Linked DNA regions of Sus scrofa. The protein of the gene in region 2 interacts with the protein of the main gene of each other region in a biochemical or structural test. Links are inferred from orthologs where the notes say so. Each region holds a gene or a part of one and is shown on either strand. Other genes may lie near its edges.

Region 1 (4,588 bases), on a different chromosome or scaffold from region 2:
TTTTCTCGATTGACCCACGATTCAGCCCACATCACTCAGCACTATTTCCGGGTCCGTCATTTAGGCAGAATGCCACCGAGACGACGTTAAAAGCGAAACCCATGGTTCTCGCCTCCAACACATCTTGTTCCCTTGCCAACGTAGGGTGCAACGACCTGTCCCTCAATCACTGACCCCTCCCAAACCCACCAGCCCTACCCCGGGTCTCCATTCCACCCACCCTTGGGGGCAAGGGAGTCGCGATTTCTGGTTGGCTCAGCTCAAGTCTCCGCCATCCGCCAGCTCACCTGCGGTTGGTTGGCAGAGCGTGCGTGGGAGGTGGGAGGGCTGAGCCTGCAACTAGGCTTTCCCCCCATTGGCTGATGGATGGGCATCACGTGGTATGAAGTGGCTCTCTATTGGCCGAGAATGGTACCATGGGTCCAGAGGCGTGCACTGGTTGGCTGGAACGACTCCCAGCTTCCTACTAGGTGCCCCGGCTGGCTGTTGCTATGAGCTGTCCCCAGGCCTTCTGGCTGCGCCTGGGGCTTCGCTCTCCCAGTTTTCCAAGCGCCCGTAGCTGACAGGGCGTGGGAAGAGCTCGACTTCCAGCAGACGCTGAAGAAAGGCGGGGCTGGGGGGAGGTGGGCGGGACTCCCGGCGACGTCACCGGGCGTGGGCCCGGCTTCCGCATGGTCGCTGGCCTTTGCCGCCTCTGGCAGTGGGCAGGATGAGGGCCTGTCACTTTTCCCTCTGTGTCTTGACGCTTAAAACAAAGCTTCACTTCGGTTTTATGCTCGTCCTTTAAACAAAGCCTTTTTTCGTTATGTTTATACAGGACAAAACCAAAGCTCACAGGCTGGGTGGTGTCTAGCAAGGCCCTCCTGCCAAGGCCTCCTTTTGGACCTTGCCGGTGTCTTCTTGTCACTCCCCGCCTCAAGTTAAAACCTAGAGACTGCTCTGGCCCCGCCAACATCGCGTCTCTGCCAAATTCTGAACTTGGCGTGCTCAGGCCGAAGCGGTTCCCGTCGCGGGCAGAAGAACCGCGCGTGCTCAGTACGCAGGATCCGCAGGGTTCGACGCGGCTTGCGGGGTGGGGTGTTGTTGGGTGGCCCAGGTGGTTGTTTATCTAAGCGCGGGCCGAGGCTTCCGCACGGCGCAGAGCCTCCCGGGAGCGCGCGAGGCCGGTCGCCTAGGCGACGGGGGAGCAAGGGCGGGGCTGCGCCACCGGGTCCCGCCCCGGGCCGCCGGGCCCCGCCCCCAGCAGCGCTGCGGCTGGGGCTCGGGCGCGCGCTCCGGCGCCGAGGGGAGCGGCGGCGGCGGCGGCGGCGGCGGGCGGGGAGCTGGGCGTGGAGGCGCGAGGGGCGGGGCGGGCGGCACTGCAGGCCCGCGTTTCGGGCGGCTCCGGCGGCTCCCTGGCTCCCACTCCCTGCTCGCCCTCAGTGCCTGCCGGCGCCCGCGGGGCCGCATTGCCGCCGGCTCGGCCCATGCCCAGGGCTGCTGCTCCCTCCGCCGGCGCCCGGGGGGCCGCGGCGGCCGTGAGGTGGGGGCAGCCGCGGGACGCGGCGGGGCCGGCCGCCGGCGCAGGGTTGGGGGGCGCAGCGCGGCGGGCGTAGGTCTATGTCGCGGGCAGCGGCGGCGGCGGCGGCCGCGGAGGGACGATGCGCGAGTACAAAGTGGTGGTGCTGGGCTCGGGCGGGGTCGGCAAATCCGCCCTGACCGTGCAGTTCGTGACCGGCACCTTCATCGAGAAATACGACCCCACCATCGAGGACTTCTACCGCAAGGAGATCGAGGTGGACTCGTCGCCGTCGGTGCTGGAGATCCTGGACACGGCGGGCACCGAGCAGTTCGCGTCCATGCGGGACCTGTACATCAAGAACGGCCAGGGCTTCATCCTCGTCTATAGCCTCGTCAACCAGCAGAGCTTCCAGGACATCAAGCCCATGCGGGACCAGATCATCCGAGTGAAGCGGTGAGAGGGCCGGGGGCGCGGGCAAGGGGCTTCGCGGTGCGGCCGGCAGCCCCTGTCCCGGGGCCAGAACTCCCTCCCGCGTGCTCTGGGGTGGCTGTGGGCAGGAGGAGCTGTCTAGGCAGGTGGCTCTGGGGTCTTAGGCTTTATCCTAAATTTTTAGCTGGTAGCATCCTCCTCGTCATCTTGAATCTCAAATTTGAGTGCTTTGTTTCACAACTCAAATTTGGCATCCGGTGAACCCACAGCACAGCTCTTTGTCTCTTGGATATTATTAGTAGCGGTTGTGCAGAACCCCAAAGGAAACAAAGTTTAAAACTTGCAGTGGGGGGAGAGGGGCGGGTAGGTTTCTGCTGGGAGGAGGCAGCTGTGCAAGTATAGCGGAGACATTTTCAGACGGAACAACAAAAAACCTCCCTTTGCAGCATTTGACAGCAAAAATTGCTTACACAAATGTGGTAAAAATGTCAAGTCCAATGGAAAGAGATCTTTCTCATTTCATAGAAGATTGAATGGTGGCAAGGCGTTTTACAAAAATGAACTCTTCACTTAAGATGAAACTTTAGAGACAGGTTATCAAATTATTTGCAGACCTGGCTCTGTGGGATTGAGAGAGTATTAGTATGTAGGAGCGCGAATGTACTATCACATTAAAGAATGTGGCTTAACTTTTTTTTTTTAATCTAGCCACTTTACCCCTCAGAAACAAAAAGAAAGGGAAAAAAAGAGGCATTCTTAAAAATAGAATGAGTTTCTTCAAAGGTGTGACTCAAATATTAGCTAATTTAAAGTTAAAGCAGATAAGCTCTTTCCTGTTACAAACTCTTTTCGCAAGTGTGCATTTTGGAAATATAACAGCCTAATGGCTTCTGCTATTTGTTTTATATTTTTTCCTATAATTTCTAGCATCAAAAAATGCAATAGTATCTCAGTTCAGAGTTTTAGCAAATTTTTCTAATTACCATTTAATTACACATTACTGTTTTGTCTGATTCTTACTATTAGTTAATAATTGCCAATAATTTTGATTCAGCATAATTTTGCTTTTCTTTCCCAGTTGTACCAGTAACCCTAAATTTGTAGACAGTTGCAAAAGCTAGTTATAAGTGTTATCATAGACATAATCTCATTTTTAGTCAGTTTGAGTCTACTCATTTTGAAAGAGCAAATACCAAGTCAGGTGCACGCAAGCTTTGCTCAAAAATTCATTACAAGAGGCGGATTTTTAATGCCACATAGGAGATCAAAGGGGAGGTCCTCTCCCCTCCTCCTTTAACTCATTGAATATGCCCTTTAATAGCTAAACTAAAATTTCGTGTGTTATTTTATATGTTAGATTTCAAGCTGGAATACAGTGAATGTTTTCATGGCCTCTGACAATGTCCTAAGATCTGTGAATCTGACAGCTTTTTACTTTTTCAGTCTCATTTCTTAAAGTTAATTGCTATAGTTAACATAGGAACCCTTTTGGTGTTAAATTTATTAAGTATATGATATTTAAGAGGCTGTATTTAAATGACTCACATCTTTAATTCCCCTCATACTGTTTTAAAAAACAAAAAACCTTTAGAACAGGGCAATCTACCACATTGTCACATGTCAATCTTAGGCCAAGTACATACATCAAATAGTAAAGTAAACGCCCCAACTGCTCCACCCTTTGTATTTAAACATATCACAGATAATTCCTGCGTTGATAAAGTCACAAGCCCAGGGCAAACTTCTTGGCACAAACTTACAGGACAGAATATGACAGAATGTTATTGGATAGTATAGTCCACATGATTTTGTAGTTTACTAGAGGTTACCAAGAATGAGTTAGTCTGAACTTAGTGTGCTAGAACGATTTATTTGTTTGCACTGTGACCCAGGAAGAAAAAGAAGAATAAAATTCTCCTTGCCCAAATGTCATTGTACTCACTAGTCTCAGTTGCCGATGTGTACAGTTGAAAAGCTCAGCTGAAGTGGACTTCGTAAACTCTTTTCACTGGAATCATCCATTGTGCCCATAAGTACCAGTTGGGCCCTTTGTGTCCTGCTGTTTTTTATCTCACCTTAACTTCATCATCTGGCCTCCCATCCTATAGCACATTGTAAACAGCTTAACACTGAAGGAGAGAGGGAATCGGTGTGTATGACAGTATACATTATGCTAAGGCGGCATTCAGTATGATGGGTCTTTAACTTCTCCCACTCAAAGCGAATAAAACATGATTTTCAAACAAGCGGATTTTCCACTCTTTTGGGGAATGAATTTTTAAATTAATGAGTTGCCGCAGCAGGTATTCAGTACTTGTTCCCTGGCCTCTGCCAGCTAGCTGCTTTGCATACTCTATACAACAGTTGTTTGGGATTATTTAATATCACCATAATGCCAATGACATAAGCGAAGTGCAGAGAGGTTTGGTATTTTGCCCAAAACTAGTCCTTGATGGAGAAGAGATTTAAATCAAGATCTGCATGACTCCATGTGCTCTTTCTTCTACATGAGGCTGCCTTTGAACTTGACATTTACTGGCAAATTCAGTGATCTAGCCTTTGGTCTAGGGCAGCACTCTTCAGTACGAATATAGCGTGGGCCACGTGTAATTTTTAAATGTCCAAGAGCTGATTTTTTATAAATGTGAAGCAGGTGAA
Region 2 (4,323 bases):
CGTAGGTCCCTCTCGGCCTAAGCACGCACCTTACCGTCACCTTTGGAAAAGCAATTGCCCTGTGATTCTGACTTCACAGTGGTAGCTGAGCATCTGCCTGCATCATGCTCAGCCTGTGGTGTGTAATGGCACATGGCACGCGGGGACCTGCCCGTGAGTCAGCGTGGGGTGTTTGAGTTGTAATCGAGGTTTCCATCGACATCCTTGTATAGAAATCCGGGCTGGTCTCGTTAAAGGGCACGATCATTTTTCATGCCCTTAATGGAAATCGCCGAATTGTTTTCCATGCGTCTTTGCCAAGGCCTTGCCTGGTGCTTGATGGAGGACCACCTGGCAGGTGCTCAAGCCACCCAGGTGGGCACGTGAGTGGGAGGGAGCTGCTGGGGCCCCGCTGTCCATGGAGACCTGAGGCTTGGCACACAGTGGGTGCCCGAGATAGGCTTACGGAATGTGTAGTCCTGGACCTGCCTTCTCATTTGATGGACGGGAAGCGAGGCCCAGAGGTTTGGAACCCATGCTGGGGAGGTTGGTGGCATTGCCAGGGCTGCTAGCAGTGATCGCAGGCCTCTGTGAGGGCCATGGGCTGAGGCCAGGGCACTGTGTTGGTGTGAAAGAGCGGGCCTGTTCATTCAGTGGTCTACTCGTCCCCTCTCTGCTTCCTCCGCAGCCCTCAGCATCCCTGCCTTACCCTGACGAAGGCCCTGAGATCCTCAGCGCCCAAGTTACCAGTGCCTCCAGCTGACCCGGCCAATGGCAGGTGCTCGGCTGGCATGTGTCCCTCTCGATCCCTCACTCTTAAATGTTTGTAGGCCCCAACCTGGTGATGCCTGGCCTGGGCTCGTCCCTGTCACCCCCAAGACTGCCCCTCCTCCATGGCTTCCTTTCCGCCTGTCCCTCCTCGGAGCAGCCTTAGGGCTCGGAGAACGCTCGGAGGACCCGGTCACCGGTCCAGGACTCAGGAGCACACAGCCAGGCACAGGCACCTGTACATCAGTGACCCAGTGGGATCCTCTCGGATCCTCTGAGGCTCAGAGAGGTTAAGCAACTTGCCCGAGGCCACGGCGCTAGGGAGGGGCTTAAATGGAATTTGTAGGAGGAGGTGGGGACCCGCCGCTTGGCCGCTCATCAACACGTACGCAAGTCACACCCCTACACAACATGTGCGCTGCAGCAGCGCACACACCCACACAAAGTGCCAGACTGCGGTACCCACAGCCCCACCGCACTCGCTGCACGCGCACTCCCTGGGACGCCAACAGCCCGCACGCCCGCCGGGGCGCGCCCCTCCGGCGTCTCTGGCCCCGCCCCTTCAGCCCCGGCCCCGCCTCCCTGGCCCGGGCCCCGCCCCCTGCCCCGCCCCCGGGCTGACCTCAGCGAGGCCCGGCTGCCGGCGCAGAGCGCCAGGCTGCGCCGAGCCGCGCGGGCTGCCGCCGCTCCCGCCGCGCGCCGGGCGGGCCCCCGCGCCCGCGCCCGCGCCGCCTCGGGTCCCGCGGCCCGGCCGGCCGCCCCCGCCGCTGCGAGCCGTCCATGGTGCAGCGCATGTGGGCCGAGGCGGCTGGGCCTGCGGGCGGCGCCGAGCCGCTGTTTCCGGGCTCCCGGCGGAGCCGCAGCGTGTGGGACGCCGTGCGCCTGGAGGTGGGCGGCCCCGACAGCTGCCCGGTGGTGCTGCACAGCTTCACGCAGCTCGACCCCGACCTGCCGCGCCTGGAGGTGGGTGAGCCAGGCGGGCCCCGCGCTCCGCCGAGCGAGGAGTGGGTGGGGGCCCAGGCGTCCTTAGCGGGTCACCCACCTCCAGTGGTTGTGGTCCCCATCCCCTGGTCCAGGGGGTTGCGGGGGAGGGTCTTTCTGCAGAAATCCCCCTTCTTGCACCAAACCCAAGGCAGCCAGGTGGATGGATGTGGGGGCTGCCGCACAGCCGGCCCAACTGTTTAGGGACCAGAACCGGGTTTTCTGGCCCCCCTCTATCCGTCCCCAAGCCGAGGCGTGCCAGCCCCGCGCCCCTGCAGCCCAGGTAGATTCGTTCCCGCGGGCAGTCACTGTCTGGGTCTGAATTTCCCAACCGCGAGGCTGGGCCGTGTTTCATCTCTGCAGCAGCCCCGGGCCTTAGGGTGTGTGGCTTCGAAATGCAAGTGGTGAACTCGTTAGTGATTAGGGTGACAAATGCCTAGAATCCACAAAGGCCTTCCAGACAGCCCCTCCCTGGGGCCAGAAGTGGACGCGATGGTCAGGGCTGCCCGGAGGAGGGGAGACAGGCCTCCAACCTGGGAGCCAGGTGCCCAGGCAGGGAGGCTGGGACAAGGGCCTCTCAGGCCAAGGAGTGACTCACTTCTGCTTGATTAGAAAATGAATTTGTAAGGATTTGGGAGGATTCAGAAGGGGAAATGTGCTTATCATGAAGGGGGGTAGGGGTCATGGGTGAGGGCTGGATTCCTGTTTCTAGGGTGCTCTGGGCAGCAGGGGACCCAGTGGGCCCTGGGTCCTGGGGCACAGCCGGAGGGAGGAGGGGGAGGGGGCTGCCCTCCCCCCCCCCCACCTGACTGTGCACCTGACTCTGACTCTCTGCGGCCGAGGTAGCAGAATCCAGGGTCGGCGCTGGGACAGAGGCCGTTCCTGAGTCAGAGGGCTCTGTGCAGTTCCTCAGCCCCTGTGCTGGTTCGGGCCCCCTTGGCATCCCCCACCTCCATCTTTTTAGGGCCTGGCTCTTGTGCCTCTGTGTGTCTGTCCCCAGTACCTCGTCAGGGCCCGGATGCAGATTTGCCCAAGAACAAAGTGCATCTCCCTGCCCAGTGTGGGGGAAGCCAAGCGGTGGAGGGAGCTCTGGGCGGCCCAGCCTAGGACCTGGGGAGACCCTCTACTCCTGAGCTTCGTGGGCGGCCTGGCCGGCATATTCCCGGACCCTCATCCACCCAGAGCTCTGGTCTTCCTTGGCAGCTGGAACAGACCCCTGGGAGGATGGGGGGCCTGACACCAGCCCAGCGCTCATCTGACTCTCATTACGTCTGGCAGCTCCACGGGCTTTGTGTGCTGGAGGGTCCAGCCTGCGTGCTCACAGGGGCGGGCCGCTGGGCTGCTTCTCTCTGTCTTCCCTCTGCCCGCTCCCCCCCGCCCCCCGTACCTCTGCATCCCCAAGGAACCCGAGGGAGAAGCAGATCTGAGCCCGACCCCTGCCCGGGGCTCCGCCTTCTCTCCCCAGCTCTGCCTCTCCCTCTGTCTCCCCTTCTCCCTCCTGCTCTCCCTCCCTGGCCCCAGCGCTGAGATCCAGGCCGTGGCTGCTGATTAGAAATCAAAGGGGAAGCTTCTGGCTGCGACAGGAAAACCAGGGTCCTGGCAGGAGAGAAGGCCACTGCCGGAAACCGAACACAATGACCATTTACCATTGCCTGGGGGAGGGGGCGGGGAAGTCCCTGTCCCTCCTGCCAACAGCACCCCCCCATTCTGGGGCCGATTTCCTGGTCGCTGTAGCCTGCCAGAGCTGAAGCGGCTGCTGTGGTCCCTGTCGTGTCTGGAAACCACCAGGCAGTTTCTGTTTCCTTCACCCGTTCCTGTTTCCCTCCCAGGCCCCCACCCGGTCCTTCCCTCTCTGGGCCGCCAGATGTCCTTGCACATCTGGGCATCTGCTTGTCATCATATTTCTAAGCCAAGCCCCTGCTGACTCAGCTCAGCCCGCACAGTTCTGTGCTTTCTAGAGGTCACCAGGCCCCTGCCCCGAGCCAGGCAGGAGTCCCAGAGTCTGGAGCACCTCCTGGCTGCAGACACCACCCGCTCGCTCGCTCCAGCTGGCCTCGACCCACCCTCCCGAGTGGGTGCCAGCCTCACTTTATAGGAGACCGGAGCGCAGAGGAGTGAAGTCCCTCATCTGCATGTACACGCAACCAGGAGGATGCAGCCAGGATTTGAACCTGGGCTGTGTTCTCTGCTGGCGTCTACTGTGTGCAAGAGCCCCCGGGCAGCAAAGAAGCAGGGGGCCCAGCCGACAGTGAGGACGATGGAGCCTCTGTGCGGGGGACGGAACCAGGCCCCCGGCAGCCCAGAAGCCCCCATGGCGATGGATGGAGGGTAGGGGCGCTTATAGCCAGGGCCAGGTGGAAGTGCTTTGGGCCAGGAGACACTGGGGATAGCTTCAAGGAAGAAACAAGCCCCCGGCTGGACCCTAAGGTTTGAAATCCTAGCCAGTGCGAGCCAGCACTTTGTGGGAGGCCTTCCGCTAAGTAGCTTGCAAGCGTTCTGTGTTTTTGGTCAGATCAGCCATTGTCCATTTAACAGAGGACACGACCAAGGCACTGGAGCTTCCTTAAGTCACACAGTCTCATCGAGCGGGCAGAG

The links.
Region 1: the proteins of RALGDS (region 2) and RAP2A form a complex in vitro, tested with the Homo sapiens proteins (2 studies listed by BioGRID). The link is inferred for Sus scrofa from reciprocal best matches to the Homo sapiens genes RALGDS and RAP2A.

The regions. Positions count from the first base shown.
Region 1 is NC_010453.5:66,677,618-66,682,205, forward strand, and holds the start of RAP2A (ras-related protein Rap-2a), read left to right. Parts: upstream 1-1,544; 5' UTR 1,545-1,640; coding exon 1,641-1,954; intron 1,955-4,588. UniProt on the Homo sapiens protein: Small GTP-binding protein which cycles between a GDP-bound inactive and a GTP-bound active form. In its active form interacts with and regulates several effectors including MAP4K4, MINK1 and TNIK.
Region 2 is NC_010443.5:272,797,160-272,801,482, reverse strand, and holds the start of RALGDS (ral guanine nucleotide dissociation stimulator), read left to right. Parts: upstream 1-1,496; 5' UTR 1,497-1,527; coding exon 1,528-1,710; intron 1,711-4,323. UniProt on the Homo sapiens protein: Functions as a guanine nucleotide exchange factor (GEF) activating either RalA or RalB GTPases and plays an important role in intracellular transport. Interacts and acts as an effector molecule for R-Ras, H-Ras, K-Ras, and Rap.